Linked DNA regions of Oryzias latipes. The protein of the gene in region 2 interacts with the protein of the main gene of each other region in a biochemical or structural test. Links are inferred from orthologs where the notes say so. Each region holds a gene or a part of one and is shown on either strand. Other genes may lie near its edges. The genes, in order: cope and copa.

What was found.
Region 1: the proteins of copa (region 2) and cope form a complex in vitro, tested with the Homo sapiens proteins (3 studies listed by BioGRID, with this or other methods). The link is inferred for Oryzias latipes from reciprocal best matches to the Homo sapiens genes COPA and COPE.

The regions. Positions count from the first base shown.
Region 1 is NC_019862.2:32,497,567-32,510,213, reverse strand, and holds the start of cope (coatomer subunit epsilon), read right to left. Parts: upstream 8,821-12,647; 5' UTR 8,781-8,820; coding exon 8,679-8,780; exon of another isoform or gene 8,578-8,678; coding exon of another isoform or gene 8,572-8,577; intron 8,492-8,571; coding exon 8,429-8,491; intron 8,306-8,428; coding exon 8,205-8,305; intron 2,730-8,204; coding exon 2,577-2,729; intron 2,361-2,576; coding exon 2,307-2,360; intron 2,201-2,306; coding exon 2,119-2,200; intron 834-2,118; coding exon 678-833; intron 1-677. UniProt on the Homo sapiens protein: The coatomer is a cytosolic protein complex that binds to dilysine motifs and reversibly associates with Golgi non-clathrin-coated vesicles, which further mediate biosynthetic protein transport from the ER, via the Golgi up to the trans Golgi network.
Region 2 is NC_019875.2:3,232,555-3,245,201, reverse strand, and holds the start of copa (coatomer subunit alpha), read left to right. Parts: upstream 1-7,227; 5' UTR 7,228-7,394; coding exon 7,395-7,434; intron 7,435-7,743; coding exon 7,744-7,857; intron 7,858-7,939; coding exon 7,940-8,013; intron 8,014-8,129; coding exon 8,130-8,210; intron 8,211-8,701; coding exon 8,702-8,778; intron 8,779-8,870; coding exon 8,871-8,980; intron 8,981-10,409; coding exon 10,410-10,519; intron 10,520-11,751; coding exon 11,752-11,851; intron 11,852-12,071; coding exon 12,072-12,290; intron 12,291-12,407; coding exon 12,408-12,558; intron 12,559-12,647. Other genes in the region: pex19 (peroxisomal biogenesis factor 19), read left to right, coding at 1,077-1,163. UniProt on the Homo sapiens protein: The coatomer is a cytosolic protein complex that binds to dilysine motifs and reversibly associates with Golgi non-clathrin-coated vesicles, which further mediate biosynthetic protein transport from the ER, via the Golgi up to the trans Golgi network.

The DNA.
Region 1 (12,647 bases), on a different chromosome or scaffold from region 2:
TTCTTCAATGATTTGTGATCTTTACTGGTGTCCATGGATTACATGAAATCCTTCCACCTTTATCCACCTTTGTCATGGTAGGGAGAACACCTCAATGGAAGGGGGGGGGGTAATCTAAGATAGCACAAGGGTTAATCATGTTTTTTAACAATAAAAACCAAAACAGGAAATTTAGAACAGCAGGCGCTGCCCCCTGCTGGTCCTAAAACAGAAACACAGTCTCTGATAATTATTCATCTTCTGCCTTCTCCCCCAGCCGGGACTTGAACCAGGGTTTATTCTTATGTTTTATTCAACTAAAGGATTCTTCTTGAAATAATTAAGTTGGATTTAACTATTTGAGTTAAGTGTATATCAAAAAACTATTTAAAACATTAGCTGCTGAAATAAACAAACCAAAATGACACATTTAGGGTTGGAAATATTTAGCAAAAAAACGTGCTTTCAGAGGAACATGAACAGTGTTTCTTCTATTCAAACCCAAAAATGTTTATTTTACACTAATTGATCTTTGGTCCTGCAGAATGTCTATGTACTGCAGACATTAGGCATTAAAAATGTAAATGCATAAATGGGCAACACTTGCTGGCTATAAAGGCACCAAATAAACACTTATGCACCGACTATGTCTGCACACCACCCACTCTTAATTTTCCAGTTCAAAGGTTGCCTCCAACCTTATCCAGGGCCTCCTGCAGGACGCCCTCCGCCTCCTCCCACTTGTTCTGAGCCATGTAACAGGCCGCCTGTCCATTCAGGAGCAGCAGCGTTGCAGAGTATTTGTCAGACATCTCCTGGAAAATGTAGTAGGCGTCCTGCAGCTTCTCTCCGCCCTGAAACAACCATAAAAAGTCCAGCTTCGTCTCTGCATGTTTCTGAATGGGGTTGAGACAAAAAACTACATCACTTTGTGCACTTTATGCTATTTTAAGTTTCCACGTAGCTACAGAAAACAAGTGAAACTAAAAGGAAAATAGGATTGTTAAAAAAATGTAAGAACCACAATTTGCACAGATGAAATATCTTTCATCCCGTGTAATACAAGTCTTTGTTTAAAGGGTCCATTTACTATTCTGAAGCCTTTTAGAGTAACCCATATCCATGTCTATAATATATTACCTTTGACACACTAAAGAACACATTTTCTTTTTCAATATTTGTTATTTTCCTGAGCTTTTTTCCAACCCGGAGTAAGACGACTCATTTCTGAGGCCCCGCCTTTCGCTCCGCCCCTTTCATGATGTCATCCTAGAGCCAGCCTTGGCAGCGTGTCAAAAACAAACATCCAAACTTTTGCATCGAATTGGAGCAACTTCTGCGTATTTCTCTGTAAAATCCTGCCTGTTCTAAATCCATCCAAAAACCTGCAATGACGGCTACGAGCTCAGGTTTAGGTTGGTCGCCATGGTTACATGCAAAAAAACGTCCGGTTCAGACAAATTCCATGCATGCTTTGCTTTCTTCCAACCTTTTTTTCTTAGTAAACAAAGCAGGAAAAATAACTTGTTTTTCTTTAAAGGAAATAAACGGCCTATTTTTATAAGATGTTCCACAAAGTGAACCTAAATCAATTATACTGATTCAATACTTTGCTTATCTTTGTAGTTTTATTAGCATATTAGTTTACTCTTTAATTCCTTTAACATTTTGCTTTAACAAAGTTGTCTTTTAACACTTTTAACTTTTTGAAGAAGTGCAGAGATGGACCCAGAAATATTTATCTGACTGAGCTAAAGAGTATTAAAAAACTCCCACATTACAGTTTATTGAAGACAAACTCAGTGATCATAGAATCAAAAATCTTTCATTGTGAATTTGTTCATTTGTTTTTCAGCAAACCTCTGATAATGAATATTGTTTTTTAGAACTATTTTTAATAGGGTGAGTCTTGCTGCTGTGTCCCACTCCTGGCTGTTCTGTTCAACAACCGTCAAAAAAAAGACAAACTTTTAGCTCATTCCTACCCTCCTGGTTTTGCGTTTCCAGGGAACTAAAATGAAAACCGCACACGTTAAACAAGCATGTCTGCCCACACAAGTCCAAAAATGCTACACAGAAACACTGCTGTATTTTAGTGGTATTCCCAGAGAAAAGCCTTTAAACAGGCATTATCCTCACCACAGCAATGTTGACCCAGGCTGTGGCTAGCTGGGTTAAAGTAGCATCCTCGTCCTGTTCCTGCATCTTCTTCAGCTCTTTCCTGTCAAATAATGTCACAGATATCAGAGCCACAATCATCTGCAATGTTAAAAGCAGAGCTATACAGCAGGACTACATCTGTTTACGAACAGAAAAGAACTCCAGACCTCGCCAAGTCTACTCGATCCAGACCCAGGAGCACCTGAATGCTCATCGCCATGCTGCAGGAAAAACAAGGTTTACATTGGTTTCAATGATGACAATGCATTTCAAATAAATGAAGAAGGAAGAGGGGTTTAGGTTGTTGTACATAAATACATAATTATTGATTTAGCAGTCGTCAGGATAAAATACAGGGAAATGAAACTATAAGGTCAGTACTATAACTGTAAGGTCACCAGGACTGGTGAAGTGTCACATCAAACATGGATGGTTACCACTCCAGACTTTCTCCTTGGTGCAGAGTTCTGAGAGCAGCATCAGTGTTCTGCTCGTGGTAATAGATGGAAGCAGCCATCAGAAGGAAGGTGGTGTTAGCAGCATCCACACTCTTTGCCATCTGCTTGTCCAAATCCACAACAATAGCATCCCTAACAAAGAAAAGAGGAAGAAACTCCAAATAAAATCTGTAATGACTGAAGCTGAGAAGCATCAACGTAGACCGAAAATATGCCAAAAGGTCATAAACCGCATTCTGTTCAAACATTGTCCTGATGAGTGAGAAAACACTACTAATAAAAAGCACAGCAAACAAAAGTATTGATGTCATGGTTTATTCAGAGTAACTTGCAGTTTATTTGGGCTTTTTCTATGCATACAAAGACGTGACATTGAGAACATCCATTCAAAAAAAGAGACTACGTCTAAAATGACTCACATCAGGCAATAACACTAAACCTTTACTAAGAGTTTTAGCTGACTGCTCTACAAGCTGTTAAACCATTTAAGTCCCTCTCCAACTATATTCGTATCCATTGAAAAATTGATCCAAGTGGTCTTTAAATATGATTATACAGTTTTTAGCCAAAAGACATTTTCTACACAGTGATAGTCAGAAATTCCTCTCTGAGTGAGTTGTCGATGGGACTGTTGACGTGGAAGTAACCCTCCACCGATATCCCCTAATCCCTTTCTCTATACGCTCTCCCACTGGCTTACAGCCCCTAGCTAACATTAGCAGTGCAACCAAAACAGCGAGCAATATTGGCGCCATGCAGCCGTACAGTCAGACGACGGCTCAGACGAGGAAAACAAAGACGAACTCAGATCTGCCAGCTGATGCATCAGGATGGAGCATCAGCTCCTGATCCGTCATGATGTCAATAAAGAAATACTCAGAAACGCTGTTATACTCTTTAATACCTTTATATACATCCTTCATCATGAGAAAAATACTACAAGAACATGTTTAAAACACCAAAAACTCAATTTCTATCAGTGTCCTTGATTTTAATAATTGCTTTAAAGAAGGACAATGGCTTATTATGATGGTGTGATTATAAAACCAAACATGGGGGTCAACAAAAGGCAACATTTCCAACGCTTTTACAAAATTTTGTAAAACCATGACGGTGTAGGTACCATAACCATACAGCCTGCAAAAACCATTCGTGGTCCTTTCCACTGAGGATGACGTCACACTACGGTGGGCCAACTTGGACAAACTACGTAGCGTGGAGATCTGCTCAGGCTCTACATATTTTCATGTCACGTTTCCTTTTGTAACCCAAAGTTATTTTCCATCATAGGTTATGTCTGACATTATTCTTTATAGTGTTTATGGAGAGATTTTGCCACAACCCACTTTGTGAAAAGATCTGTGGCTGTTAGAATGAAGCTGCTGCTCCAGAGAACCGTGACTCTGAGCGCTGGAGTCTCGTGTTTGCAGCCAGGGAAGGTGCTTTGTTATAGTGTTCGGTCCGGAGGAGGGTTCAGACCACAGTCCATTAGTCTGCAATGCACTTATTAATAACCATAACAGTAATAAAAGCACGTTTAGAAGATAATCTCCCTCCATGTCGGAGCTCTGTTTGTTTACAACTGACTTCATTATATCGTCTTCTATGGAGTATAGTAATTTGTCCAGATCAATCACTATCTGACACGTCATCGGACAAACGGACAGCCAATCACATCATGTGACGTCAGCACTAGTCCCGGGACCTGAAGGACCCCAAACGGTTGTTGAAAGCCTGTCTCAAAGCGAGGTCATTTCTGTACCAAAAACTACTGGAGACGGTTTGTTCCCAACAGTAGTTGGAGAAAAGGCTGAAGTGGGACCCAAACATTTATGATAAATAATAAATAAAGAAGTTTATTTTAAAATAATGAACAAAATTTACCCACCGATCAATTCATGCTAAGACACATCAAAACAATTGATCCTAACTGTACTTTTTGCAAAGAACAAGTACTTTTCTGGAACTGTACTGAAATTGGAATTTCTTGGAAAAAGTGTTTACAATTTCTCAAAAAAACAGATTCACCCCAACCTCACTCTGAAATTTAAATGTATAATTTTTGGCTTTCATAGTAAAAACTTGAACTCATGTAAAAAAAAACCTCATAATTAATCTTATTATTATATTTGGCAAATTTTATATTCATAAATTCCATTTTTTTCAACTTCTATTTTTTTTCCCACAGATTAAATCAAACAACTTGAAATGTGTCTCAGTACTATCTCTAAAAGTCTTAACCAGAAAGCTGTATGTTTGTAAGAAAGTTGTAAAAACTTGAATGTTTTTTATGTAAAATGCATATCATATGTATGCTCCCCGGGCATATTTGAAGTTTATTTTGTAAAATTGTGTTTTGTACTGTACTCCCGTTTTGTACAATAAAGTTTAAAAAAAAGAAAAAAAAAGTTGTTGTTGGCCGAATGGTTATGTACCTAACAAGGGGGGGGGGGGGGGGGGGGGGTATTCCAGAAGTCATGTTTAAACTCCCCTGACTTTAATCCTGAACTCTGGCTGAAATCCGCCTGAACTTGCTTACTCTGGGTATGTCGGTTCCAAAAGACCGGATATGAGTTAGCGTAATTACGGTCGACTTGGTAACCCTGGGTTAATGCACGTGCACAGCAGGTACATAAAGACATTCTCAATGGATCACCGATTTCCAGAGTCACCATGGAAACGCGTGGTGAAAAAAAAGAGAGCGCTATACTTCAGTGAGACGGAGTCTGAGATTTTAATGACGGCGTATGAAGATTATACGTCCATCAAAAAAGTAACACGGCTGCATCATCGGCAAAAGAAAGAGTTTCTGCTTGGAGAAAAAGAACAGACAAAGTAAACGCACGAGTTTCTGATCTTATCTCCATTTTCCTTGTGACGCGCATATATATATATATATATATATATATATATAAGCCACTTGCACAAGTGTCCATCAAATGTGGGATATACCAAGGTGATGCTCTGTCCCCACTGCTGTTCTGCATAGGTCTGAACCCCCTCAGCCAAATAATCAACAAGACTGGCTATGGATACCGACTCAGAAATGGGGCAAACATCAGTCACCTCCTCTACATGGATGACATCAAGCTATATGCTAAGAGCGAGCGTGACATTGACTCCCTGATCCACACCACCAGGATCTACAGTACTGACATTGGGATGTCATTCGGGCTCGAGAAATGCAGTCGGATGGTGACAAAGAGAGGCAAGGTAGTCCACACAGAAGGGGTCTCACTCCCAGAAGGAACAATAGCAGACATTGAGGACAGTTACAAGTACCTCGGAATTCCACAAGCAAATGGCAACCTGGAGCAGGCAACAAGGAAAGCTGCAACAGCTAAATACCTCCAACGGGTAAGGCAAGTCCTGAGAAGCCAGCTCAATGGCAAAAATAAGACCCGGGCAATAAACAGCTACGCACTGCCAGTTATCAGATACCCTGCAGGAATAATAAGATGGCCAAAGGAAGAGGTACAGACCACGGATGTTAAGACACGAAAGCTCCTCACCATGCATGGAGGGTTCCATCCCAAATCCAGCACCCTGAGACTGTATGCTAGCCGCAAGGAAGGAGGCCGAGGACTAGTGAGCGTAGAAGCCACTATCCAGGATGAAACATCCAAGATGCATAAGTACATCAAGCTCAAGGCCCCAAATGACAGTGTGCTCAGTGAATGTCTCAGGCAATGGAGAGCAGAGGATACAGTGCTGGAGGACAGATCCTCATGGGAGGACAAACCCCTGCATGGGATGTACCACCGGACCATAACGGAAGTGGCTGATATCAAGAAATCCTACCAATGGCTAGAAAGGGCTGGCCTACAGGACAGCACTGAGGCACTCATCCTTGCAGCTCAGGAACAAGCCCTGAGCACCAGAGCAATAGAGGCTCAGATCTACCACACCAGACAAGACCCAAGGTGTAGGCTGTGCAAAGAGGCGCCTGAAACAATCCAGCACATAACTGCAGGGTGTAAGATGCTGGCAGGTAAAGCATACATGGAGCGCCACAATCAAGTGGCTGGAATAATATACAGGAATGTGTGTGCAAAGTATGGACTGGAAACCCCAAGGTCAAAATGGGAAACACCCCCGAAGGTGGTAGAGAATGAAAGGGCCAAAATCCTGTGGGACTTCCAGATTCAGACTGATAGGATGGTAATGGCGAACCAACCAGACATTGTAGTGGTGGATAAAGAACAGAGGAAAGCCGTTGTGGTGGATGTGGCAGTGCCAAGCGATGGGAACATCAGGAAGAAGGAACATGAGAAACTGGAGAAATACCAGGGACTCAGAGAAGAACTGGAGAAAGCCTGGAAAGTGAAGGTGACAGTGGTGCCTGTGGTAATTGGAGCACTCGGGGCAGTAACCCCCAAGCTGGAGGAGTGGCTACAACAGATACCTGGAAAGATCTCAGACATCTCAATCCAGAAAAGCGCAGTGCTAGGAACAGCTAAGATACTGCGCAGAACCCTCAAGCTCCCAGGCCTCTGGTAGAGGACCCGAGCTTGAGTGAGAAACCACCCACGAAAGGGTGATAGGGGCAAGTTTATATATATAACTTATCCAATATTGCCAACTTCAATTAATTACTTCTGTTGGTAACAAGTAATCAAATTAAATTTATTTAACCAAATTTTCGACGTCTATAAGACTCAATAATTGCTTATACAACTAAAATCTACATATGTATCTAACTAAATCTCATATTACTCCAATTAGATTAATATTTTTTCCATCTTAATTAATTATAATTCTTGAACTCTCATATGTTTAAGTTTGCGCTGGCAGATATAAGCATTTGTATAACAATAAAATGAATGAAACTATAAGTACAGAGTACATAAATTGATCTAGGAATTTTCCAAAATTGTTATTACATCAATTGTCAGTAAAGGTGCTATATACACTCATCATCCTCTCCCTCCCTCTCACTCATGGTGCAGAGGCTTTAGCATAGTAGGACAAAATAACTCGGCAAAACACAGTAAAACAGCTAAACAACTGAACACATTTGGTCAAAAACCCACATTTAAGCCCAAATCCAGACAGGCAAAGGGAATGGTATCCCACAATTCCTTGCAGTGCCGATCTAACAGCAGCACCAAAGTTACACCTACTTAATTGAATTAATTTGAATGAAAGTAAAAATAAATGTCTGAAAACTACGTGTTATTTTTAAACCGACTTGACAAAAAATAAAAAAGATTCATCTTAACTGAAGCAAATAAGTTAGATCAAAGTAAAAAGTTTCTCTTTCCAACATCCATATGTGGTCTTATCACCCTCTCACGGTGGAAAAAGTATTATCTGAGCTTCTTCATCCACTAAATCATCTTCAAATGGACACGCCATGCTGCTTCACCTCTCTGAAAACAAACTAACCTTCAACTAAACCTACTCCAGACCAGGTTATGTTCAGAGCATGAGTTGCTATGGCAACTTGACCTACCCTGAAACATACCTCCATTTCTGGAACCAAAAGCTGAGGTTATCCACTTCCTTAGCCTCAAACTTACCGTGGGAGCTAGCAGAACCTGCTTTCTGGAATACCCCCCAGCTGTATTTGGATGTAAAGGGAAACGTGAAATACTGAGTTTTTACCTTTTGTTTTCACTGGATAAATACTCTGCAAACATCTTCACGGCCTGAAGCTCTGCTGGGGAATTGGCTCTGATGTCATCCAGGACAACAGCATACTTCCTCTGCAACGCAGAACAACATTACGATCTTTATTGGAGACTTTGTGAAAATATTAGTGACAGTGAGCAATATAGAAAATACACTGACACAGTAGTAGGCTTCTCCATTATAACTTCAGGACTTACCTGAGCGATGTAAGCCCTATACAAAAATGTGTCTCTTTCAACTTCCTTCTCGGGGGATGAAGGCTACGAACAAATAAATAATAAACAGACTAAGTGAGATTCGGTTCAGCAAGTTTAACAAATAAAGTCCTTTTGACACTTACTAGCATGGCCGCTAACAAATGTTAGCAATTGGGTACCGGATAAAGCCAAATTATGGGAAAATAAATTAGAATTAAACACGTTTAAATCATTAGAATATGCGTCATACCTTCACTTTTTGAGCCTCGTTGATACATTGCTGAAAACTGCCGATATAATAAGCATTTTTCACGTCAAACAGTTCATCAACATCGCTCTGTTGAGACGCCATGATTCTCCGCTGACTTCCGGACACGTAGGAGAATATACGTCACTCCAGTACATTGCGTGGGGCATTGTGGGAAACGTAGTTTAGCCAGCAGCGTGATTAAAATGGCAGTATTATGGGTGGGAAAAACGTAAAAAGTGAAGTTTAACACGTCAACATTTAGGAAAAGTTTAGTTTTTTTCTGTTATGTTTTTATTTATTAATTTGGGGAAATATTAGTCATTCATGGTAATCAGTAAAGGGTTTGCAAATATGGCTAAGAGTCCAGATTAAAGTTTAATCTGGACTAAAACTATTAGTCTAAACCTTATTAAACTGTATCCAGACTCAAAGAATGATATAAATGTCCAATTTGTAATAAATAAAATTATAAAATGGTCTCAAACCAGACTTAAAACTAATGTTTGACCTTAAACACTTTACATGAAAATCAATCTTAGCATCTTGTATTGACATAGTAACTCATTTTGTCTTTCTTTCAAATACAGATTGTTAGATTACCATAAGTGTCATGAAAAGTGAATAAATCATTAAATATTTATTAGCAATAATTTTCCTGTCATTACTATTGCTAATAAATCTTCTTTCTCTTTCGGCTTTTCCCATCAGGGGTCGCCACAGCGAATCATCGTTTTCCACCTCACTCTATCATGAACATCTTCTACCCTAACGTTAGCCAACTTCATGTCCTCTGTTAAGACATCCATATATCTCCTCTTTGGCCGTCCTCTTGCCCTCCGGCCAGGCAGCTCCATCTCCAACATCCTTCTACCAATATATCCACTATCCCTCCTCTGAACATGTCCAAACCATCTCAGTCTGGCTTCTCTGACTTTGTCGCTAACACAGGCAACATGAACCGTCCCTCTGATGTACTCGTTACTTATCCTGTCTAACCTGGTCACTCCTAAGGAGAACCTCAACATCTTCATCTCCGCTACCTCCATCTCAGCCTCTTGTCTCTGTCTCACTGCTACCGTCTCTAGCCCATAGAGCAGAGCTGGTCTCACCACTGTCTTGTACACCTTTCCTTTGAGTCTTGCTGACACTCTTCTGTCACACAACACTCCTGACACTTTCCTCCAACCGCTCCAACCTGCCTGCACTCGCCTCTTCACCTCTTTTCCACACTCCCCATCACACTGAACTGTTGACCCCAAGTACTTAAACTCCTGCACCTTCTTCACCTCAGCCCCCTGTAACCTAATGCTTCTACCTTGATCCCTCTCGTTCAGACACATGTATTCTGTCTTACTACGACTGACTTTCATGCCTCTTCTTTCCAGAGCAAACCTCCACCTCTCTAGCTGTTCCTCCACCTGCTCTCTACTCTCACTGCAAATTACAATGTCATCCGCAAACATCATTGTCCAGGGAGATTCCTGTCTTACCTCGTCTGTCAGCCTGTCCATCAGCATAGCAAACAAAAAAGGACTCAAAGCTGATCCTTGGTGTAGTCCCACCTCCACCTTGAACTCCTCTGTCTGACCTACAGCACATCTCACCACCGTCATACTTCTCTCATACATGTCCTGAACTACTCTGACATACTTCTCTGCCACTCCAGACAACCTCATACAGTACCACAGCTCCTCCCTCGGCACCCTGTCATACGCCTTCTCTAAATCTACGAACACACAATGCAGCTCCTTCTGACCTTCTCTGTACTTTTCCATCAACATTCTCAAAGCAAAAATGGCATCAGTGGTGCTCTTACGGGGCATGAAACCATACTGCTGCTCACAGATCTCCACCTTCTTCCTAAGCCTGGCTTCCACTACTCTTTCCCACAGCTTCATTGTGTGGCTCATCAACTTTATTCCTCTATAGTTGCTGCAGTTCTGCGTGTCACCCTTGTTCTTAAAGATCGGAACCAGAACGCTTCTCCTCCATTCCTCAGGCATCTTCTCACTCTCTAAAATCCTATTGAACAACCTCGTTAGAAATTCCACTGCTGTCTCTCCTAAGCACTTCCATACCTCCACAGGTACGTCATCAGGACCAACGGCCTTTCCGCTCTTCATCCTTTTCAGAGCCTTCCTAACCTCATCCTTTCCAATCTCTGCTACTTCCTGCTCCACAACAACCACATCTTCCTCCCTTCTTTCCCTGTCATTTTCCACGTTCATCAGCTCCTCAAAATACTCCTTCCATCTTTTCTGTACACTCTCCTGGGTTGTTAGCACCTTTCCATCTCTGTCCTTAATCACCCTTATCTGTTGCACGTCCTTCCCATCTCTGTCTCTCTGTCTGGCTAGCCTGTACAAGTCCTTCTCTCCTTCCTTTGTGTCTAACCTGTCATATAGCTCATCATAAGCCTTCTGTTTGGCCTTTGCCACCTCTCTCTTCACTCTATGCTGCGCTTCCTTGTACTCCTGTCTACCTTCCTCAGTCCTTTCTACATCCCACTTCTTTTTAGCCAACCTCTTCCTCTGGACGAATTCCTGTACTTCCTCATTCCACCACCAAGTGTCTTTACCGTCTTTCCTCTTTCCAGATGACACACCTAGCACCTTCCTACCTGTTTCCCTGATAATTTCTGCTGTAGTTTCCCAGTCATCTGGAAGCTCATCCTGACCACCCAGGACCTGCCTCAACTTCTGCCTAAATTCCTCACAAGTTTCTTCATTCTGTAGCTTCCACCACTTGGTCTTCTTTTCTGTTTTCCCTCTCTTCTTCTTCCTGACCTCCAGAGTCATCTTACACACCACCATGCGGTGCTGTCTGGCTACACTCTCTCCTACCACCACTTTGCAGTCATTAACCTCTCTCAAATGACCTCGTCTGCATAGGATGTAGTCCACCTGAGTACTCCTACCTCCACTTCTGTATGTCACTCTATGTTCCTCTCTCTTCTGGAAGTAAGTGTTGACTACCGCCATTTCCATCCTCTTCGCAAAGTCCACCACCATCTGTCCCTCCAGATTCCTTTCCTTCACACCAAACCTGCCCATCACCTCCTCATCACCTCTATTGCCCTCACCAACATGTCCATTAAAGTCTGCTCCAATAACAACTCTCTCTCCTCTGGGGAAACTCTCTATGACCTCATCCAACTCACTCCAGAATCTCTCCTTCACTTCTAACTCACAGCCAACCTGTGGCGCATACCCACTGACTACATTCACCATCACCCCTTCAATTTCTAACTTTAGGCTCATCATCCTGTCTGAGACTCTTTTCACCTCTAGAACACTGTTTACAAACTCCCCCTTCAGAATCACTCCTACCCCGTTTCTCTTCCTATCAACACCATGATAGAACAGTTTGTATCCTCCTCCAATACTACGTGCCTTGCTGCCCTTCCATCTTGTCTCCTGCACACACAGTACATCTACCTTCCTTCTCTCCATCATGTCTGCCAGCTCTCTGCCTTTCCCTGTCATTGTGCCAACGTTAAGAGTCCCTATTCTCAAACCTATGTTCCTGCCTTTTCCCTTCTCTCTCTGGCCACGGACCCTTCTGCCTCCCCTCTTTCTTCCACCAACAGTAGTCAAATTTCCACCGACACCCTGTAGGTTAACAGCATCGGTGGCGGTCGTTGTTAACCCGGGCCTCGACCGATCCGGTATGTCTAAAGTGTTGTGGATGATTCGCATGGTTATTTTGGCAATTTTTACGCCGGATGCCCTTCCTGACGCAACCCTCTCTATTTATCCGGGCTTGGGACCGGCACAGAAGTAACTGGCTTGCAACCCCTGTGGCTAGATTTTTTCTTAGACACAATGGTAAATGTTTTACCATCTCAAGCCACCAGAGGATGCTCCAGATCTACATTTTGTCCATAGGTGTCTCTTGTTCTTTTGTATCCCATTAAAGACAATCAAAGTTTTCATTTTTGAATCATAACAAAAACAAAAAAAGTAGTCC
Region 2 (12,647 bases):
AAGATGAGGATGTCAAGCCAGCCTGATCACAGACCAAACAATCCAATATGGATGGCACTAAAATGTGTCACATTGTTAAATCAAATGTTCTTTTGCTTCAAATTAAAACACTGACAGACTAGAACGTTAAGTCTGGTCCCTGTCTGCTGCAGAAGGAGCCACAGTAGCACACGTGTTGTGAGGAAGGACAAGTTATTTCAGTCTGAAAGTTTAAAGAATAAACTGAAGTTTGATCATAGGTGCTAAAACTTGCGGCGCCTCACCTTATGCACAGGTGCACCTTGGGTAATTTTTATTGCATGTTCCCTCATTTGTCTTTCTTGTCTTGCTGACTCCACACGTTTTAAAGAATTTTGATGGACTCTTATTTTATGCATATTTTAGCGCACAGGTCCCCAACCTTTTTTCAGGCCACAGACAGTTAATGCTGGACAATATTTTCATGGACCTGTCAGTACGAGGCTGAAGTAGACGTCTGATTTTATTTTATTTTATTTTAGCTTCCAGTTTCCCTTAACTTTTGAGGGTAAAGTTTACCTTCATCCTCTGTAAAATATCTGCAGCTGCTTTCAAATTCATTTTTGCCCTAGATTTCTTGGAGGAACCAATAAACTGTGATACAGATTTCCCCCTAACCAATAACTGTCAAAGGGAAAGATGCCAACTTCAGAAACTTTCCAAAATTTTTTTGCTGAATTTGCTACCTTCTGGGTTTTCATTGTAGTTGTTTCAGCCGTTTTAAGAAAGCAGTGGGTGGATTTTCAAAAGTGCAACCAAACGACCTGACGTGCATCAAGAATGAGTCGGATGTGGAGAGAATCCAGTAGTTTCCCAAAATAAAACTTCAGTCAAAATCAGACTATAAATAAAATGGAAGAAATTTAGATTTTTTTTTTTCTTTTTTTGTACCTACCGTCTCACAGACCGGTACCAGTCTTCAGCCCAAAGACTGGGGGCTACACTTCCAGAGGATGCAAATGATAGAATTTTAGTTCAAATTTTCAATGACTTAAAAGAAATGTCTCCCAAAATAGTTTCTGCTTTGCTCCAACTTTCCTTTGTTTTTCACCGTTTAGCCTCCAGGCTTAAACTTTGACATGGAGTCCCTGAACCTCCCTGGAGGCCTTGGAGCCGGGGCCCCGGATCAGTGCTCCATCATGTGAGGGGGTGGAGCGGTTCGTCGGGAGATTTGGTGCCGAATGGTTCCTCTGTGTGAGTCGGAGAACAACAGACGGAGAGCCAGAGGTCAGGCAGCGGTGTGACCTGACAGTCAACACTGTTGACCTTTCAGATGGGTGTGAAAACAAGCAGAGGAGCTGCTGAAATCAACACTAAATGCCAACACACATTCTCTGTAAAAATCAAAATGTGAACACAGAAAATGTAAAGATTTCTACAGTAGTTTGTCGTCAGAAGCCACGCCTCCTTCAGAGTTATTTTAGCAGAATCTCTCCAATAAGAAGAAATGACCACTGCCGCTCTTTGTGTTGTTTTTACATGGCGTTTAGTCTACTTCACAGGTTTGAACAGTGCCTTTTAACAATAACCCTGATTATTTTAGCCTCTGAAACATTGAATAATCTGCTCTTTCAGCTAAGCAGCTCACAGTTAGTCTTTAAAAGTCAATTTGCTGTAACTTTTTTTTTTTTCCAATCAACAGAACCCCAAATTAGTGTGTGATAGAAGTAACAGGTTAACTCTTAATATGCAAAGAAGTATGTGTGTTTTTGTTAATTATTTTAAAGAAGAGAGTGTTTATGAGAAGAGACATTGGAGTACCTTAGAATGAGAACGGTTCTCCCTGGTGTTCCTCCTATCCAGCCACTGATTTGGAGTGATTTTGACCCCAGAAAACCTTAACTGTGTTCACAGCTGAGATCCGTTTTGAGTGGCTGTGCAGATGGGAATCCCTGTGGAGAAGATTCCTAAAAGGTGAAATAAACACCCAGGAGTGGATTTCAAAGTGTCTTTTTTTTTTTCCTTCCTAAAAAGCGGCAGAGCAGTAAACATCATGTTGATATGGGGGTGCTGAAAGCAGAGGCCCTGCTGAATAGAACCCCCTGATGTTGGCACTTTTTTGTGACGGCTGCCGGGTTTGTTGACTGGTGGGCTCTTTTCATGGGCTGCGATTATCTCTGAACTTTTGTAATGGCTTCTCTGCGGTGTTATCAGAGGGAGAAGTCCAGAAACGCCGGGTCTTCATAACTGCAATGAAAGGGTTCCGTCAAAGGCCTTTGTCAGCTCTGCACAGAGAAGAGGTCAGATTTGCATCCAGCACAGCTAAAGGGAGGCAGCTATGGGGGGGGGGGGGGGGGGGGGGGTATTTAGACCTGTGGTTTGCAGCACAGGGAGACTGAGAGCGGTTCAGTTCTCAGGACAAATGCTCCATATCATGCATAAAATGACCTACTGGACACTTTTTCTTGTACATATAGTAATTAAAAATAAAGATATGGTACAATGTGTCTGTGACTTGTGTTTTAGTAGTTCTGCTTCTATATCAGTTTCAAATTTCAGATTGATTACATTCATTTTTAGATATTGCACTCTTGTGCATGTGAGATTGACTGCTGTGAAGATCAACACAATGAACTCATTTCCATTTGAAACACGTGCTGCATTGCTTTTATCCTAAATTCCAACCCACTGTCTAAATATATATGATGTCCGATATTTCTAGTATTTATGTAACTAAAAGGTAAATAGATTGAAATATTAAAAATGAAGAACATTGGCATCTTTTTTTAAAAGTTACAGATGATTGATGACAAAATTGATGACAGATGACAAAGTTGTGGAGATTAAAAATCATTCTTTATTTCAACAGGTGAATAAATGAAACTTTATGTCAATGTGGCATTCCAGCAGGAAGGATGTTGGATATTGATCCCAATGGAAATGGTTATGTCTGCAGAAAACCACACTGAAGCTTTGACAAAGGGGGGAAAAAAAGATAAAAGAAGTTATTTGGAATTAATTTAATAATAGGAGTTAAAAGATATGAAAGTCACAGAGATACATTCAGGACCATAAATATTTGGACAGAGATGCATTCTTTCTCATTTTGTTTCTGTACAATACCACAGTTAATTTTAAAACAAAACTCAGATGCCATTGAAGTGCAGACTTTCAGCTTTTATAAATGGGTTGAACAAAAAGATTGCATAAAAATGTGAAAAACTAAAGCATTTTTTAAACACAATCCCTTCATTTCATGGGCTCATAATTAATTGGACAAATGAAATAGCTGAAAATAAAATGGTCATTACTAATATTTGGTTGAAAACCCTTTGTTGCACAATCCCTTCATTTCATGGGCTCGTATGTAATATTGCATGGACAGGTGTGGGCAATTCCCTTGTTATGTCATTATGAGTGAAGCAGATAAAAGGCCTGGAGTTGATTAGAGGACTTGTGCTGCATTTGGAAGATTTAGCTGTGAACAGACAACATGCGGTCAAAGAAGCTCTCCATGCAGGTGAAAGGAGCCATCATTAAGCTGACAAAACAGAAAAAAACCATGCAAGAAACTGCTACAGTATTAGGAGTGGCAAAATCAACAGTGTGGTACATCCTGAGAAAGAAAGAAAGCACTGGTGAACTCAGCAACGCAAAAAGACCTGGACGTCCACGGAAGACAACAGTGGTGGATGATGGCAGAATCATTTCAATGGTGAAGAGGAACCCGTTCACAACAGCCAACCAAGTTGTTGGGTTCAAACAACCTGCAACATCAGAGTTTACAAAAGGAAAGAAAGACAAGAGACCAAGGTACCTTTTAGGAGGAGAACGAACAGAGAATAATACCCAGTTACAATCTCTCTCCACTCTGGCACATATGCCTGTCACCTCCTCTTTTATTAAGTTTGTTGGGTTGTCCCTAAGTTACACATGCGCTGACCTCTAAGGAGGAGAAACAGATAAAAACACAGCTGCAGCGATATCAGAAAACATTTATTGTAACATGTCCATCCTTTCACAGTCTTCCCACATCATCTCTGGCCCTGCAAAGTCTTTCCTCACGGATAACTGACACAGAGCGTCCTTTTATTCCGGTCTGGAAGCAGATAACATGCTGATGTTGGGAAGATGTTAGGACAATCGGTTTCCTCCCAAGAGTTTCACCTTCACCTCCCTGTGAAACAGAACTTGGACACAGACACTTCTGCAAACATGATTATATCACCTATATAGCTAGGTAATTCATTAAAGCAAATATGAGATAACTTATATACATTATTCCAACACAAGTGAACAACACTCTCCAGGAGGTAGGCGTATCAATATCCAAGTCTACCAGAAAAAGAAGACTGCATGAAAGTAGATCCAGAGGATACACTGCAAGATGCAAGCCACTCATGAGCCTCAAGAATAGGAAGTCTATACTGGACTTTGCTAAAAAGCATCTAAAAAAGCCAACACAGTTCTGGAAAAACATTCTATGGACAGATGAAACCAAAATCAACCTCTACCAGAATGATGGCAAGAGAAAAGTCTGGAGAAGGCGTGGAGACGCTCCTGATCCAAAGCACACTACATCATCAGTAAAACACGGTGGAGGCAGTGTGATGGTCTGGGCGTGCATGGCTGCTAGTAGCACTGGGACACTAGTGTTTATTGATGACGTGACACAGGACAGAAGCAGCCCAATGAATTCTGAGGTGTTCAGAGACAGACTGTCTGCACAGATCCAGGTGAATGCAGCCAAACTGATCGGACGGCGTTTCGTAATCCAGATGGACAACGACCCAAAACATACAGCCAAAGCAACTCAGGAGTTTATTAAAGCAAAGAAGTGGAATATTCTTGAATGGCCAAGTCAGTAACCTGATCTTAACCCAATTGAGCAGCATTTCACTTGTTGAAGACTAAACTTCAGACAGAAAGGCCCACAAACAAACAGGAACTGAAAGCCGCTGCAGTAAAGGCCTGGCAGAGCATTCAGAAGGAGAAAACCCAGCATCTGCTGATGTCCATGAGTTCAAGACTTCAGGCTGTCATTGCCAACAACATCAACCAAATATTAGTAATGACCATTTTATTTTCAGCTATTTCATTTGTCCAATTACTTGCGAGCCCATGAAATGAAGGGATTGTGTTTAAAAAATGCTTTATTTTTTCACATTTTTCTGCAATATTTTTGTTCAACCCATGGAATAAAAGCTGAAAGTCTGCACTTCAATGACATCTGAGTTGTTTTATTTAAAATTCACTGTGGTAATGTACAGAAACTAAATTACTGGTAAAAAGTGTCTTTGTCCAAATATTATGGTCCTGTCTGTATGCATTGATATATGTAAATATCTGCACATATAACTGTATTGATATTCCACTCCTATGGTCTCCTCTTCGAGTGACTGATTTTCTTTTTTTGTTTTTTATCTTTTTGTAATTGGTCTCTGTGTTAGATCATACAAAATCCCAATTCTAAACAGACATGAAGATAGTCCACCTGCTGCTTTGGGCTTCCATCATTGTGAGTTTAATAGGTGTGATGGGCACCTGGACAAAAACAGCAGTGCCCTTTGTCCTAAAAATGCCTTGTACTTTCAAAACCAAACAAAACCCTTGAAAATAATTAAAAGCTCAAAACAACAAGAACATTTATTATAACGGACTGTCAATGGAATATCTGCCAATGTGGGTTCATCATAGAACTTGAATGGAATGGTTTTTTTTGCCACTTGTGTGTGGCGTTTGGAGCTTGAGTCACCAAAAAAGGAACAAAGTCCATCTGCTATTCATAAGAACTGAAAATAAATAAGTTAATGATTAAATATGTACAGTACAGACCAAAAGTGTGGACACACCTTCTCATTCAAAGAGTTTTCTTTATTTTCATGACTATGAAAATTGTAGATTCACACTGATGGCATCAAAACTGAATTAACACATGTGGAATTATATACATAAAAAGTGTGAAACAACTGAACATATGTCATATTGTGGGTTCTTCATAGTAGCCACCTTTTGATTTGATTACTGCTTTGTACACTCTTGGCGTTCTCTTGATGAGCTTCTAAAGGTAGTCACCTGAAATGGTCTTCCAACAGTCTTGAAGGAGTTCCCAGAGAATAATAATAAAAATAATTATTATTATTATTGTTATAGTTGTTGTCTTTAACAACAACAACAACAACAACAACAACAACAACAACAACAACAACAACAACAACAACAACAACGACGACGACGACGACGACGACAACAACAACAACAACAACAACAATAATAATAATAATAATAATAAGGCAAGGCAAGGCAAGGCAAGTTTATTTGTATAGCACAATTCGTACACAAAGTAATTCAAGGTGCTTCACAAAACAGAAAAGTGCATTAAAATCACAATACATCATAGAAATAATCAACATAAAATTTACTTTAAAAGAAAAGGAAGAAGAAAAAAAAAAAGATTTAAAAAGAAAGGAAGGAAAGAAAAGTGCAGATAGGACCTTTCAGTCATATACACGGCTAAACAGAAATGTTTTAAGTCTAGATTTGAACATGAACACAGAAGAGGCCTGTCTTACGCCTTCAGGGAGGCTGTTCCAGATTTTAGCTGCAGAATATTGAAACGCTGATTCCCCTTGTTTAGTTCTGACTCTGGAAATCAACAGGAGGCCGGTCCCTGAGGTCCTCAGAGTACGAGATGGTTCATATGGCACTAACATGTCAGAGATGTACTTTGGTGCTCGGCCATGGAGAGACTTGTACACAAGCAGAGCTGCTTTGAAGTCTATTCTTTGAGGTACAGGGAGCCAGTGCAGAGACCTGAGCACAGGACTAATGTGATCATACTTCCTGGTTCTGGTCAGGACTCGAGCAGCAGCATTCTGGATGTACTGAAGCTGTTTTACAGCTCGTTTGGAGAGGCCGGTGAGCAGGCCGTTACAGTAGTCTAACCTACTGGAGACAAATGCATGGATAAGTATCTCCAGGTCTCGCTTTGAGATTATGTTTTTGATTTTGGCAATGTTTTTCAGGTGGTAAAATGCCGCTGATGATAATAATAATAATAATAATAATAATAATAATAATAATAATAATAATAATAATAATAATAATAATAACTAATATTATTCGTAATAATTATTCTTGCTATTATCATACAGCTTTAGGGTAAGGAGGCTTTTACACCTAGAGCTTCTGCGTGTTGTCGCCTGGTTGTTGCTGTCGTGGAGCTTTTTGCGTCAAATTTTGACTTCAAAAACTTTATTGTCCAAAACCGGAAGACAAAACGGGCGACGTGTCAGGAAAAGAGAAGGGAATAAATGGGCGAAGGCAGTCTGGCCGCCTAAGTAACCTTTGTGCAGATTCACACTTTTTTTGTTTTTTGCTTGTTTGATTTTTGTCGCAAACATTGATCTGTGTTGGATAACAACTTACTAGTGACAATGTTAACAAAGTTTGAAACGAAGTCGGCCCGTGTTAAAGGTAAGCTAACCGCAGCTAGCTACATCATGCTAAAGTTAGTCGGTTGACGTTACTTTATCATATGCTCATACTATTAATGTCATATCTGTTCACAAATGTTTATCTAAATTTAAAAGTATACTAGTTTTAAAAATATTATAATATATGTTCTGCTGTGTTGTTTAAAAATGTAATGCTAATAGTACGTTTATGTAGCTAACGAGCTAATTGCTGCGCAATTTTGACTTGACATATCTGTGATATTATAGGAAATTTTGGCAGTGGTGTTTTTTAATGCCATTAATGGTTAAATAATTTGATCCTATTCAGGTCTGAGTTTCCATCCCAAAAGACCATGGGTTCTCGCCAGTCTGCACAACGGAGTAATCCAGCTGTGGGACTACCGGATGTGCACACTGATCGACAAATTTGACGAGCACGATGGTAGGAAAATTGTATTTTTTCGAATTATAAAGTAGCCATACTTGTTAGACCCTTTTTATTCCTAACGTGCTCTTTGCTATAGGTCCTGTTAGAGGGATTGATTTCCACAAGCAGCAACCTCTTTTTGTGTCTGGTGGAGATGATTACAAAATCAAGGCAAGTGCACCGACATGGCGTGAATAAACAGCACATTCAGCACGTGACTAAGCCTGGCAAGTTGTATATTATTTTTATAATTACATATGTTAGAAAAATTATTTTGTTTCGAACAGGTGTGGAACTACAAACTGAGGCGGTGCCTCTTCACCCTCTTGGGACACTTGGACTACATCAGAACGACTTTCTTTCACCATGTGAGTTGAACCGCCACGACAGCACAAGCTGGACTTTAACGATCATCTCTGTTCCTTGATCATCATTTATTTTTTCAGTTGCCACCACATTCAAAATATTCGGTCTACTCCTGCCTTCTCTTTACTTTTTAAATATATGCAAACAGTATTGTTCTTAGTATTTATATTAATTGGTTTTGCAAATCCAGTTTTACCTGAATGCACATAGTCGCTCTTTTCTGGAGATAAATTGCAATATCTGCGCCTGATATTGGAATTGATGGCACATTCTTTTGCTTTAAACTCAATATTGCTAAGTTTACAGAGACCAAGTGGCAGAAAAACTGCAGTGGTCATGTGTTAAGAGTGTTTTTTTTTTACCAAAGATACCACCTTGTATCTTTGGTTTTGATCTTAGATTTTGAAGGTCTTAAGCAAAATTTAGTTCATTTCTAAGGCTTCATATTTCCTTTTACTTTAAAGTAACTGATTAATGTCGGCCTCATGTGTAGGAATATCCCTGGATTCTCAGTGCGTCGGATGATCAGACCATCCGCATCTGGAACTGGCAGTCAAGAACCTGTGTGTGGTACGATATGGATGCTATATTTGAATGCACATTTTTACAATAAGAGTTAAAACTTCAAATTAATTGTCTTTCCGCCTCTCTTTTTCCGGCAGTGTGCTGACGGGCCATAACCACTATGTGATGTGTGCCCAGTTCCACCCTTCTGAAGACCTGGTGGTGTCGGCCAGTCTGGACCAGACTGTGCGAGTGTGGGATATCTCTGGTGAGGGCTTGGGGACAGTGGAGCAGATTTTAAAGTGGGCTAGGTTTGGGTGTGGGGGGTTGGGAACAGAGTGGTCTAAGGATGAGCGAGAAGATGGGAACAGGACAGATCAAGTCCCGACCCTTCTCTTTCTCTCCAACTTGTAAAGGACAGATCTCTGTGGGCTGTTTGCAGAAACACCTCTTCTTCATTCAGGACAGATGTAGACCCTCAGACAAAGAAAAGCTGCAACATTTGTGAATGTAAGGCCCCACAAGGAAAGGGGTCAAACATTTACTATGTTTGTCCCAGAATTAGAAAGAAAGAGGTGTTTCTGTGCCTTTGCATGCTCTTAAAACTCTGTATTTTTCTTCCTTTCACTTTATTTTATATATTTGCTCAAAATATGTATTTTCTGATACTTGCTTTAACTTTAATGTGAAGCTGTTTAAGATAAGGCTTTGTGACTCTCTAGTCTTGGATTTTCTGTGTATTGAGCATGATTGCATTCATTTCCACTGAACTCTACCTCTCAAAAACCCCGCTGCCCCTAGCATGTGTAGCCTTCATCTCTACATCTTTGTTCTGCATGATCAGATTTTATCAAAGTAAAACATTCATACTTTTTCTCTGAAACACAATTTTTTAATAAATTTGACCTGCTTTAGAAAAAAACAAACCTATTGGTAACTACTTACCTGGTTAAGCATGGTTGGCCATACTCACTAAGCAGCATGGACATTGTCCCCCCAGTGTTTACACTTTACAGCTAACCCCCTGACAATCACATTCCAGGATCTGTTAACAATGCACGTGACTAAACCCGCCCTCAACAGTGCATGTGTCTTCAAGACCAACTAATGTTCACGTTTACCATTCAACGCCCCATCAGAGCACATCTTTACAGAGCCACCCACCCTATCCCCATCAGCCAAGTCCACACTCCACGCGCCCTCCTTGCCCCCTGGAAACATCCACACCTGCACTTGGGTTCCTAGTTTTTCCCCGTCTGTCCTCTCAGGGCTCTTGAGCGGTCTGTTCACCACATCATCTTGTTGGGTGAAATTGCGGATACAATCAGTGTTTTCTGATGGTTGTTTTGTGGGCCTGTTTGAGTCTTGGAGGTTATCACTCTGTTGTCTAGTCAAATTATGTCGTTTTCATTAAATCAATCAACTCTCTTGCAACATTGGAGATGGTCTCCAGACTCGAAAAAACCGGTTATCAGAAAGCAGAGATGGTGCTGGTTGTTTCTACCCACTGTTGGTGTCCAGACGTTCAACAGTTCAGTTTTAAGTTGGTTTGCTATCCCTCTCCATGATTTTGCTCTCGTTGTGCTTACAGAAAAGCGTTTCCTTCCCTTTTCCCTCCCTACCTTGTGCTGTGACTGTGCCTCGTTTAACATGAATATGGCTTTCCTTCCTTGCACGCTGTGCTTTGACGGTTCCAGGTCTGAGGAAGAAAAACCTGTCCCCGGGTGCAGTGGAGACAGACGTGCGCGGCATCTCTGGGGTTGACCTTTTTGGTGCCTCAGATGCTGTTGTCAAGCACGTTCTGGAGGTGAGCCGCGGCCTACATATGCAGATTTTATTAATGCTCATGCTTTGTTTCACAGTCATTTTAGAAAGAACATCTCAATTTCTCTTTTAAAAACAAGGCAAGCTTCCCTTTGACAGGTTCTCGTTTGGATGGATGTGATGTTTGTTCATTTCAAATAGGATAACTGTTATTACTCAGGGAAAGATCTACACCTCCTCTTTTAGATTGTTTTGTTTCTTCTACAGATGATGGTAATAAAGTGTGAAAACAATATTATCAAACCATCAGAGGCCTTTCTTTAGAGCTGTGATCCTATTATATCCATTAAATATATTTAAAAGGGTATTTGTTCTTAAAGTAGTAGCAAGATTGTGATAAATGTGTTATTTTAATTTCTGTTTAAGTTTTAATAGTCTGTTTCTCAAATGAACTTTAGGGGTTATTAAGATTATTGCTCTTGATGTAATACATGATAAATGGATAAAATTCTTTACTTGTATTTAAGTTTACTTAATAAGTTTCAGAGTGTAATCTTTAAAGTCCCACTCTGATGATCTATTGATTTATTTTAAAAGTGTTCCCAGTGGGTTTTAAAAAAAGATTACTTTATGCTGTTTTTTGTAAAAATATATTGAGTTGTTTTGTGGGACATAGTTTCTGCAGAGCAGCAGGAGTTTATTAGGAGTTCACCTCAGAGTTGTGGGCAGGACCATTGGTGTGGTGAAGCCTGCCCATACGTCCTGTCATCCATCGGTTACACTCTCCCACTAGCTTACAGCCCCTCACGCTCCAACTTAACATTAGCGGTGCAACAATATAATGGCGAACAATATTGTAGCTATTTGGTCGTACAGTTTAGATCCAGATTCCAGCTCAGACGAGGAAAAGAAAGACGTTCATGGATCTATTTGGATGCACCAGACTGGGGCAGAGCGGGGAGCGTCTGGGTTGCCATTGTAGCTTCTGCGTCACACCTACAAGCTTTTTCCAACTGCCTTTTTTGTGTCTACTCCTGATTCACAGCAATTTGAATGAAGAAATACTTGGAAATGTCATGTTAAGCTTCATTTTCTTCATGATTGTCCTCCATTATCACAAAAAAAACACAAAAATGTGTTAAAAACACAATTTTCACCAAAGTGGGTCTTTAAAACAATGAAGACAACAGTACTTTAGGATGAGGACAGTTACACGTCAGCTGGTTTGTTCTTTGTTGAGGAGCAGAGGGACTCATTACATTTGTGTTAATGCAGGGGCATGACCGTGGCGTCAACTGGGCAGCCTTCCATCCCACCATGCCCCTCATTGTGTCTGGAGCTGATGACAGACAGGTGAAGATCTGGAGGATGAATGGTAGGCATCTTGACAGAATCCAAGGACACATTTATATAATATAAACCATCACTTCAAATGAGGCATCAAATCATTCAAGCTGTTGAAAGATGAAACATTTTGATCACTCTTAAATTAAGAAACAGAGATGCATTCTTCCTTAACTACCTGTAAAAGAAAAGGTATTTGTTTTTGCGTAATTCTTTTTTTTAAATAATTTTCTTTTTTTGTCTTTTGTCAGAGTCCAAGGCATGGGAGCTTGATACCTGCCGTGGCCACTACAACAATGTGTCCTGTGCAGTGTTCCACCCTCGCCAAGAGCTCATCCTTTCCAACTCTGAAGACAAGAGCATCCGGGTGTGGGACATGTCCAAGAGGACCGGAGTGCAGACTTTCCGACGGGATCATGACCGCTTCTGGGTGCTGGGAGCGCATCCAAACCTCAACCTGTTTGCAGCTGGTACCATTTTTTTTTAGTCTTGTAATAATAAAGAAGGAAAGAAAAGCACAGGGTTCTGATTGCACTCTGTCCTAGATTTGAGGTGAACCTTAAAGTGTTGTGTTTTGTGGCTTTCAGGTCATGACAGCGGGATGATTGTATTCAAGCTGGAGCGGGAACGGCCTGCATACGCCGTACACGGCAACATGCTGTACTACGTGAAGGACCGCTTCCTCCGCCAGCTGGACTTCAACAGCAGCAAAGACACTGCTGTCATGCAGCTCCGCAGGTTGTTTACCCTTTCTTTTGTAACAAAAAATGTTCTTTAATTGTGTTCTTTATGTTGATCAGCTATGTTGTGGTGCTCAAAACTAAACA